Linked DNA regions of Xenopus tropicalis. The protein of the gene in region 3 interacts with the protein of the main gene of each other region in a pairwise test. Links are inferred from orthologs where the notes say so. Each region holds a gene or a part of one and is shown on either strand. Other genes may lie near its edges.

What was found.
Region 1: the proteins of mcm10 (region 3) and mcm6 interact in binary tests that used the Homo sapiens proteins (3 or more experiments, as listed by UniProt). The two-hybrid records come from large-scale screens. The link is inferred for Xenopus tropicalis from reciprocal best matches to the Homo sapiens genes MCM10 and MCM6.
Region 2: the proteins of mcm10 (region 3) and trim37 interact in a two-hybrid assay, tested with the Homo sapiens proteins (2 studies listed by BioGRID and IntAct). The link is inferred for Xenopus tropicalis from reciprocal best matches to the Homo sapiens genes MCM10 and TRIM37.

What each region holds. Positions count from the first base shown.
Region 1 is NC_030682.2:59,226,797-59,229,762, forward strand, and holds the end of mcm6 (maternal DNA replication licensing factor mcm6), read right to left. Parts: intron 855-2,966; coding exon 729-854; 3' UTR 608-728; downstream 1-607. UniProt on the Homo sapiens protein: Acts as a component of the MCM2-7 complex (MCM complex) which is the replicative helicase essential for 'once per cell cycle' DNA replication initiation and elongation in eukaryotic cells.
Region 2 is NC_030678.2:95,276,567-95,280,226, reverse strand, and holds part of trim37 (E3 ubiquitin-protein ligase TRIM37), read right to left. Parts: intron 246-3,660; coding exon 96-245; intron 1-95. UniProt on the Homo sapiens protein: E3 ubiquitin-protein ligase required to prevent centriole reduplication. Probably acts by ubiquitinating positive regulators of centriole reduplication.
Region 3 is NC_030679.2:81,878,002-81,881,661, reverse strand, and holds part of mcm10 (protein MCM10 homolog), read left to right. Parts: intron 1-1,041; coding exon 1,042-1,155; intron 1,156-1,768; coding exon 1,769-1,914; intron 1,915-3,660. UniProt on the Homo sapiens protein: Acts as a replication initiation factor that brings together the MCM2-7 helicase and the DNA polymerase alpha/primase complex in order to initiate DNA replication. Additionally, plays a role in preventing DNA damage during replication.

The DNA.
Region 1 (2,966 bases), on a different chromosome or scaffold from region 3:
TATCACGAAAATGTTTACAAAAAAATCGTATTAGTCACGATAATATCGTACTGGCGATCCGAAAGTCACAAAATTTTCGTACCGTACGATCGTAAACAGTGGGAAAACCTTTCCAATGTTTTCGCGCAAACGTACAAAAAAGTCGCACAAGCGTATGGAAAACTTGCGTGGGCGCCGAAAAAGTCGCGCAAGCGATAAAAAATTTGGCGAAAATACGCTCAGACCATTTGAATGAACGCTACGAGCATTCGTGTCTTAGTAAATCTGCCCCTAAATGTTATCTAACTAACTATAGATTTAACTCCATTGAATAATGTAAGGTAAAAAGTAGTAACCTCTGCAGTCTCTCTGCAAATGTCTGTGAGGCAAAATGTGCAATGCCTGATGCCCTAGGCAACCTGGTCAGCCACCTTGCTCAACCCAGGCATATTCTCACCAAGCATTTTTGGCTTGCTGAAAAAATGCTACATGTGGCTTTACTGTAGTGCAGCGCAGTGTTACGGCTCCCATTTTGTTCTTCTGTAATATAATGGTATTTTCTGCACAAAGTTGCCCCACTATAAATAAAAAGAAATATTCACAACTGACAAAAGGGAATTTTATAGCAAAATCATTTTTAATATATTTAACTTTACATTTCTTTTGGACATAGAAACCATGACATAATTACGCCCTTTTATTCGCAAGAAAAGTTTGTACCAAATATGTTTGCCTACATAAACTGCTGTTTAATCTTCCAGCATATAATTTGGATTCACAACTAAAATTCGATCTTCAGCAGCATCTTCACTTGTCTCCTTTGAATCATCCATTGTTTTTAATTCTGATTTGTTCAGTTCTATCAGAATATGATCCTTGCAAACAATTTGGAAATAGAGCAATGTTAATACCAGTTTGTGAAAACATCCCAACTTTAATTTACATGAACTGGATTTCATATCCCCTTAAAAAGGAATCTAAATCCAATTATTAAAAAAAGCCCTAATTAAAACGCCCCTATATACACAAATTTTAGCGGTTTTAATGTTATTTGTAAATGTTAACAGCTAGTGAAATCAGTTATCTGCTAGTCTCAAGGTAACCTTTTGATTTGTGGATCTAAAAGACTTTGTGAGAGCCTTGGTTGGAGGAGAGCTGATTTCTGCTACATTGTTTCAAGATTTGACAGATAAATGTTGCTTTCAATTCTACATTTACAAAGTGTTAAAACCATCAAAATGTTTTTGATGTATATTAAAACATTGCTTAGAATTACTTTTGCATTAAAAAAATTTAGCTTTTTGTTTACATACCCTAAAATTTGAAAAGATATATATTTCATATGCCCTTACACGTTCATATAATGCTACACATATACCAACAAACATGGTACTGCTAAAGTAATGGTAACCAAACAGAAGGTACAGATTTTTGCGATGTTAATCAGCAGTCTGTTGTAATTGTGCTCAGTAGCAGATCAAACAATAGCAGCAGATACAAAGGTACCTGGTAAAATGAAGGAACAAGTAAAATCCCTAAACTTACTGTGATAAAAACCAAAATACATTTAGATTGTAAGCTCTATGGGGCAGGGACCTCCATCCTCTTGTCTTTCTGATTGTTAACTTATTGCAACTGTACCTAGTATTTATTTGTATTTATTGTTATACTTTGTATTTATTATTTTAATAACCCCCTGTTGTATTAATCTATTCTACTGTACAGTGCTGCGTACATAAGTAGTGCTTTATAATTATATACATACATACTTTATTTCACATGGCGATTTGTAAAAACAAGAAAAATTACATGTTATAAAAACATTTCAATAATTAACTGGGCTTTTGATGAATAGGGCTTATGATGAATATTCTTGTTGCCAATTGTTATAATAAAGAAACATGCATGTGTTATTTGCTGCACTAAATCTAAAAGTTCAAGTCTAAATATGGTTTTTAAGAGCACAATCAAATCAATTTAGCAGTTCAAACACAATCAAAGCAGTTAGAAAGTAGTATAAAAGCTGCTTCTCATCTTAAAGCCTAACAGGCTGTAGCTGAGGGAAGAGAGGGGTTTTGTTTCACAGGGCTTTATAGTAGACTGACAATTTATTTTGATTGCTCTACAATGAAGGTCATTCAGTGATACAAATAATTTCTTAATTTTAAGATACATAGATGCACAAATTTGCTGTAAAGGTATTATACCAGGTTATGGCAAATACAAAAAAAAAAATCACCAAACTGAAATCTCTCAGTGCGATTATTTGTGCAGAAAGACCTCAGAAAGTGAACTGTATTTTAACATAAATAAAAAGAGACAACACACTCTCTGAATTACAACTTAATTGCCAATACTAAAAAATTATACTCAAAATACCTAGAAATACCTTTGCAACAAAAAATAATCCAAAAGTTTTCCCCCATGTAGGTAACCTTAATCAGGCTCTGCCAAACATATTCAATCAGCAGTGACAAGTGCTCTATATTACAGATCAATATTTTGTTATTAAAAGTCAGATGTTCAACATACTGTTATTAAAGTGCTTTTCTAAATCAGTGTTGAAAATATAAATTTAGTAAAAGGGACTATTCAGGTAAATAAGTGAGGAATGCTTAGCACAAATCCTTACATCCTTGATAAGTTTATTAAAGTCATGTTTTTCCCCACAATTCCAGTGTCATTGTAGTCACAAATGAGCGATGCTCTTGATGCAATTGCACTGCACCTACTGCAATTGCATTCAGTTTGTTAAAATGAACACAACTGCGCATTAACTTTGTTGCAAATAGAGTGCGATTGCGATTAATATTTTCTATACCTGCCAGGCATCATTTACTCTCCTCTCTTTTCCTTTATTCTTTTGGCACGTCTAAACAATGGCAATTGACCCAGGTGCCGAGGAAACCCTTGAGCTACTGCCTGGTCAGGATGTGGTGGTAGCTCCAGGGTGGAGGTGAGAAGGGGCCACCTCTGTTAATTCAAAA
Region 2 (3,660 bases), on a different chromosome or scaffold from region 3:
AAGGAAATAGAAGCATATAGCTAGATATAGAGGGGACGTATAGTAAAGAAAGGACACGCACAGGAAGATGCAATGATAACAGCACAGTTCCTTACCTTCCCCTTGAGCCTGCGATGTGAAGCTATCATTAAATCCACCACACGTAATGTTTTCCTCCTGTTCTTCATTTTCAGTGTCACATTCAATGTCGCTGTCACTGCTCATCCCTGGCAATATGTGCAGAACGAGTTTGGAGCACACAGCAGCTGTCAGAATACAAAACACTTGTTAGAAAAGAACAGTGTGGGAACACAGGGGTTAAACTCGGCAACCAGGTGATTAAAATGGAACGGTGTCTCGCGCATCCCTTTCATCTCTGAGCTCAACACTATTAATAACAGCACTGAAAATGTTAAAATGCTATAAGAAGCCTAAAAGCTACAGTAGCGCATCAGACAGCAGTGACTAAGTGTGAAAATGTCTCTTACCATGTTACTGAAAGGCCTTCTCTAAATGCCAACACCTACACACAATTTCACACTCCACACAGGGATAGATGCTGGCACCTTAATAGAAGTTCTGTGCTACACTCTATCAATCACTGAAATTTAAATGAGTGCAGGGGCGGAAGAATGCAGCCATGTAGAAAAACAAAGGCACAATTTTATGTGGAGTATCACTTAGGGGAAATAAAAATAAAAAAAAAATCACGACTATTTTTTAGCTCACAGAGCAAGGAAACAACAGAAGAGTTGGATATTTGTTTCAAAAAGGTATATGATTACTGAAAAGATAGGGGCCACAAACACCATTCCAGTTTCATTTATCAAAGGGGTTGTTCAGCTTTCCGTTAACATTTTAGTATAATGTATAGGGTAATAGTGTAAGACAATCTGCAATTGGTCTTCATTTTTTAAGTTATTTCACTTTTTGTTCAGCAACTCTACAGTTTGGAATTTCATCAGTCATCAGGTTGCTATGGCTCAATCTATCTTAGCAACCAGACAGTGGTTTAAATGAGAGACAATATAATTGTAGCCTTACAGGGCAGTTTTTGCCTACCAGAGTCAGTGATCCCCAATCGAAAGTTGGAAAGATTCAGAATAAGAAGGCAAATATTTAAAAAAGAATTATAAAAAATAAACAATTAAGACAGAAAGGGAACAAGCCTAACTTGCATTTCACTGAATGCTATCGTACATGTCTCATAAGCATCAGCTGGGTGCTGGACCTTCACTTCATCACCAAAGGAGCACACATGCACAGACATGTTAGAAACCAAGACAATTAAATAAAGAAACCACTGAGACGATGCCACTAGAAATGCCTGTAGGTTTGATGAAATAGCTTAAGTTATAACACCTGAGTCAAACCTATAGTGGTACTTAGCATGCAGCATTATGGAAATAATAAACACCAAAAAATAAGAGAGGAACACAACAACAATGGAAAATCAGTTTGTTTATAGAAACATGGGTTTGGATCAACAATTGCCTTTCTTTATACAGCTTCTTTTTGCTGTTCAGTAATAGGTACAAGCCATGCCAGATGGGGCCTTCTGTAGTTTGATCAGCCTAGAAGATTTCTATAAATCACTGCATGCAGATCTAACTAAACAGGATGTCTTTGTCTTATTTAAATGCATGGGTTAGTGGTTTGCACCCAATATAAATAGTAATGAACTAATAAAAAGTAATGAACCAATTCATTAGCAACGCCCTAAATAATTCCTTTTTCTAACAAAAGGAAAGGGGGTTATACACATTAGCTTAGCTTAAATGAAGACACACAGAGCTACTTAGCTTAGCTACTTGTCACAGCTACTAAATGCCAGAAAATACCCTGCCATAGACAATATTGAGAATTGCCTTTGCTAAAACACATGTAGAGAAAATAATCAGTAAATGATCAGCTGTATCTATTTCTGTAGCTGTGACAATGACAAGTAGCTGCAACTAGTAGCTCTGTGTGTCTTCACCCCTAAAGGGAAGGGGGGGGGTCACCTTAAAGTTAAGTTTTAGTATGTTAAAGAATGGCCAATTCTAAGCAACTTTCCAACTAGTCTTCATTATTTATGAATAGTTTTGTTTAATTATGATTTGATTCAAAATTGATTTGGACTCTTTACAACTTTTAGATGGGGGTCACTGAACTCTGGCCAGGTAATTATTAAAAATCCCAAGCTGAAGAGTCGCGGAACATAAGTGAAATAATTAAAAAAACCATAGATAATAAAAAATGAAGACCAAATGCAAATTTTCTCCAATTACTCTCTATGTCATACTAAAAGTTAACTCAAGAGTAAACAACCCCTTTAAGGCCAGAAACCATATTTAGTGGCCATGCTACAACCTTGTTTATAAATGTTTAATCATTTAACCGAAAACACTGCATTAGATGTTTAATAACATCTTTATAATTTCACAAATGCAATCAGAAAAGGGTTTGGGGTGATTACCATAGACCAGTGTTCCCCAACCAGTGGCTCGTGAGCAACATGTTGCTCCCCAACCCCTTGGATGTTGCTCCCAGTGGCCTCAAAGCAGATGATTATTTTTGAATTTCTGGTAAGGAGGCAAGTTTTGGTTGCATAAAAACCAAGTATAATACCAAACAGAGCCTTCTGTAGGCTGCCAGTCCCAGGGCCGGATTTCTCTCTGAGGGCATCCAACAATCATCATATTTTCATTCAGGCTGAGCCCATGACTGTGTGATTCAAGTTTGGGGAGTGTAGCCTCAAAGCTGTAAGTTTGGCAGCAGTTTCCCATAAAAGTCAATGGGTACAATATGATTGGCTGCTGTTGGCCCCTCCCACTTTGGGGTCATCCAACAAATGTTGCTGCTTCATTCGGGGTGACCCCATGATTATGTTATTCAAGTTTGGGGAGTGTAGCTTCAAAGCTGTAAGTGTGGCAGCAGTTTGAAAATCTTCCCTGTCAAAGTCAATGGGAAAATTGGGGAGTTCAGAAGGGCGCCACAAAAAGACGGGGGTCCGGATCGCTTAGAAAAGCACAAGCAACCTGCTCTGCTATAGGGCGAAGATGTGTGGGGAGTTTGGGTATTGTACCCCTAAAACTGTAGGAGGAGTAGCGTTTAGAAAATGGGGGGGCGCTAAGAAGAAGAAGAAGCGGAAGAAGCTAAAGTGGAAGAACAGTACGTTGGGGTTTTCAACCCAACATAATTACGTATATATTATTGGATATACATAGACATACAGACACAAAATCTGTTTAAGACATTGATGCAATCAACATTTAAAGACGATGTGCTTATACGGTTAGTATACATGATATAAGAGTGCCAGCCAGCCTTGTATGGAAAGTCTCTCATATAACCCACATAGGGCTTTATTGGGTCCAGCTGGAATAGCCATACAGGCACCTGCTTTCAGGTCAAACACTTTTCAAATCGATGTTGTGCCTATTTTTATGTTATGAATAGTGCAGCACAGTTTGCAGATTAATTCTCTCTGCTTATGTAACAGTCCCCCTACTCATACAGGTCTTGGTGCAGCCGGCTTTAACCCTGCATGTTTCCTTCACACCGTTATGACATCACCATCATATCTAAGACAAGAGAACGAATAGATCCTCTTATACTCGGGAGGTCCCAGGTAGCCGAGTGGTTAGGGGATCCGCCCTCAGTAGGCAACCCCCACTGAGACGCGGGTTCAATTCCACC
Region 3 (3,660 bases):
GGTTGTGGTTACGGTAGTTTAATTAATATGACAGATGCTAATGAGTTAACACACTTGGTGCTCTCTGTAGGGTAGTAAAATGCTTCTAAACCTTAAAAGCACAAGCATTCTTAAATGTTGGAGGCAAAGGTATCTATGAAATAGTAGGGTGGGGTTAATCTTGCAGGAAGGCACATTTACTGAAAGCAAGGAGTGGGGAAGTACATGGGCAGTTGCTTGTGCTTGTCTGATGATTCTTGCTTGAGATTGCGCATCACAGTCATTTTCCTCTACTTAAAGAGAAGGACAGGCTATATAACCAGGGTGTGCCAAAATGTTAGGCACCCCCCAGTGATTGTAATTGCTTAGTGAAACCCCAGCCAGGGTGTATGCAAGCTTGTGGTCCTTCTTCTTGCTTCTGTTCTCTTGCCTTATATTTATTTGGAGGACTGAAAACACCATAAAGTTTTTATAAAATAGTATTTAACCCATTCCTTGCTGGCAAAGAAGAAGAAAGCCTGCAGACACCGTATGGTGTATGTTTTAAAGTGTAAGGTTGCAGTATAGGAAAAGGCATAGTGCCTAGCAGTGTGCTTTTTATGATATGTTTTTTTGAGCTGGTAAAATACTGTTCTACCTGCACCTGGCTATGATTATTTGACAAAAAGACAAACATCATGGGTTACTGCCCATGTGGAAATTTGCCCAGTGTTTATAAATGAACCCCAATTATATTTGACTTCTGTTTATCTCCTCTTTAGTCTTAAACCTTTAATTATAGAGAGAGCAGAACATGCAGCTGTGATTGGGAGGTTGCGTGACATTGAGAGTCCTTGCCTTCACATCTCTGATGTACATGCACTAAGTAAATAATTTCCAGGTCACATGGTTGGGTGCAGCCAAAAAATAATTTTTGCTCGGTGGCCCAAGTGTAATTATTATTATTAACCTTATGAGAACTTTTGTGTGAGATACTGGCTCTTTAATGTAGCCAAGTAGCTGTAGTGATCTTATATAGAACTAAGATAAAATAGTTCTTACAATTACAAATCTTTTTCTCAGGCTGAAGCAGAGATTCAAGAACGTTATTTTGATCCCCTTGTAAAAAAGGAGCAACTAGAAGAGAAAATGCGAAGCATCAGAGAGCAAGAATGTCGTGTAGTTACTTGTAAAACGGTGAGTATATTGTAACAAGAATCCAGTTATTTCCTTTTAGACCTTTAAACCTTTCTACTTGTGTCACTGTAAGGAATATGTGAATATAAAGCCATCTTTTTGTATCCTGCAGCATGGCTTTATACAGTAATTTTTTTAGGGCAAGGTCATTGCACACGGGGAAGGGTTCTCCTTTGTTATGGTTTGCGAAGCCAGTAAGTCTGCCCATCAGACCACTTTTTTTCCCTATGTTGATAAACTGTTTCAGCTTTTCTGACTTTTCCCAGGCTTCCTTTCTATTATTAAATAATGCAGACTCTGCTCTAACTTCATTTTAGTGTTTATCATTTTTGTCCATGAACCCAAATGAAATGGCAGAATCTGCTTCATGACCCAAAACTTTTTTAAGAACTAGTTATATCTTAATTACTATTTTCTGTAGGTGTAAGATTTGTAAGATGTTATCATGGAGCCCACCCTAAACTGCATTGAAGAACCATCACATTTATCTCCAAGGGATATTGTTTGCAAAACTATGAGTTTAGAAAATAATTTTCCAGCAATGCAAAACAGGGCACCATGATATACTTTACTGACCTCTACAAAATTCTTTTTATTTTTTTTTTCTGCACAGTGCAAATACACTCACTTCAAACCTAAAGAGACATGTGTTAGTGAGAACCACGACTTCCATTGGCACAATGGTGTGAAAAGGTTCTTTAAATGTGCCTGTGGTAACAGAACTATATCCTTGGACAGATTGCCCAAGAAGCATTGCAGGTATGATACTCGTGAAAAAATTTCTGACTTTATTGTGCCTGAAAATAGTCATCTCTTACTATGCATGCGGTAGTTCGTGCAGGAGGGTTAGTGAGTGGATGAGCTAATGCTGACTGACCCCTTTATAAGGCTGTGAGAGTATCCAGTAAACAAGTATTATTGGCAGATTATGAGGAGGAATCTGAAAACCTATTCCTAAGGCAATTATAGTCAGTTATTTTCATTCAGGATGCTGCCGAATAAGTCCTACAAATCTCCCAGCCAGGGAAGCTTGGTGTGATACTAGGAATTCTAGTTCTGCAGCAGCTGGGGTACCAAAGGTTGACTGTCACTTCTCCATGCTTTACACACTGTATGTAATCAATTACGCATTTATTTACACTGTTCGTTATGTAAATTAAGCGGTCGCCATTTGGGAGGTACAGAGCACAAATCTAGTGTTTAATTTGTACCTTGTTAAGTTGGTCATTAGGGATAGGAAGGGTAAAAGATTAGGGGCATTGCTAATAAATTATAAACTAGTTGAAGAAATGTGTTTGGGTTAAGTGCTTAAAACTAGTAGATGTGCTGCTTATAAGAACTTAAGGCTTGATGGAGGGGAGGTTGGTGACAACAAAGGGTGGGGAAGAAACTATACACCGTGTTCACTGCAAAAAAACATGATGCTCTGTTCATGCAGGTTTCTGTTTACATGGTTTCTAGCTAATTATGTTGGATTTAGTGGTTAACAGATACTTTTAGTCACATCAAACATATTACCTACTGAGCCTGCATAAAAAGACCATACTACCAACACCAGTGGTTCCACACATCCATTTGTCTCTGATCAATGCCAGACATTTGTTTTCATGGCTGATTGCCATATACAGTGGAGGAAATAATTATTTGACCCCTCACTGATTTTGTAAGTTTGTCCAATGACAAAGAAATGAAAAGTCTCAGAACAGTATCATTTCAATGGTAGGTTTATTTTAACAGTGGCAGATAGCACATCAAAAGGAAAATCGAAAAAATAACTTTAAATAAAAGATAGCAACTGATTTGCATTTCATTGAGTGAAATAAGTTTTTGAACCCCTACCAACCATTAAGAGTTCTGGCTCCCACAGAGTGGTTAGACACTTCTACTCAATTAGTCAACCTCATTAAGGACACCTGTCTTAACTAGTCACCTGTATAAAAGACACCTGTCCACAGAATCAATCAATCAAGCAGACTCCAAACTCTCCAACATGGGAAAGACCAAAGAGCTGTCCAAGGATGTCAGAGACAAAATTGTAGACCTGCACAAGGCTGGAATGGGCTACAAAACCATTAGCAAGAAGCTGGGAGAGAAGGTGACAACTGTTGATGCGATTGTTCGAAAATGGAAGGAGCACAAAATGACCATCAATCGACCTCGCTCTGGGGCTCCACGCAAGATCTCACCTCGTGGGGTGTCAATGATTCTGAGAGAGGTGAAAAAGCATCCTAGAACTACACGGGAGGAGTTAGTTAATGACCTCAAATTAGCAGGGACCACAGTCACCAAGAAAACCATTGGAAACACATTACACCGCAATGGATTAAAATCCTGCAGGGCTCGCAAGGTCCCCCTGCTCAAGAAGGCACATGTGCAGGCCCGTCTGAAGTTTGCCAATGAACACCTGAATGATTCTGTGAGTGACTGGGAGAAGGTGCTGTGGTCTCATGAGACCAAAATAGAGCTCTTTGGCATTAACTCAACTCGCTGTGTTTGGAGGAAGAA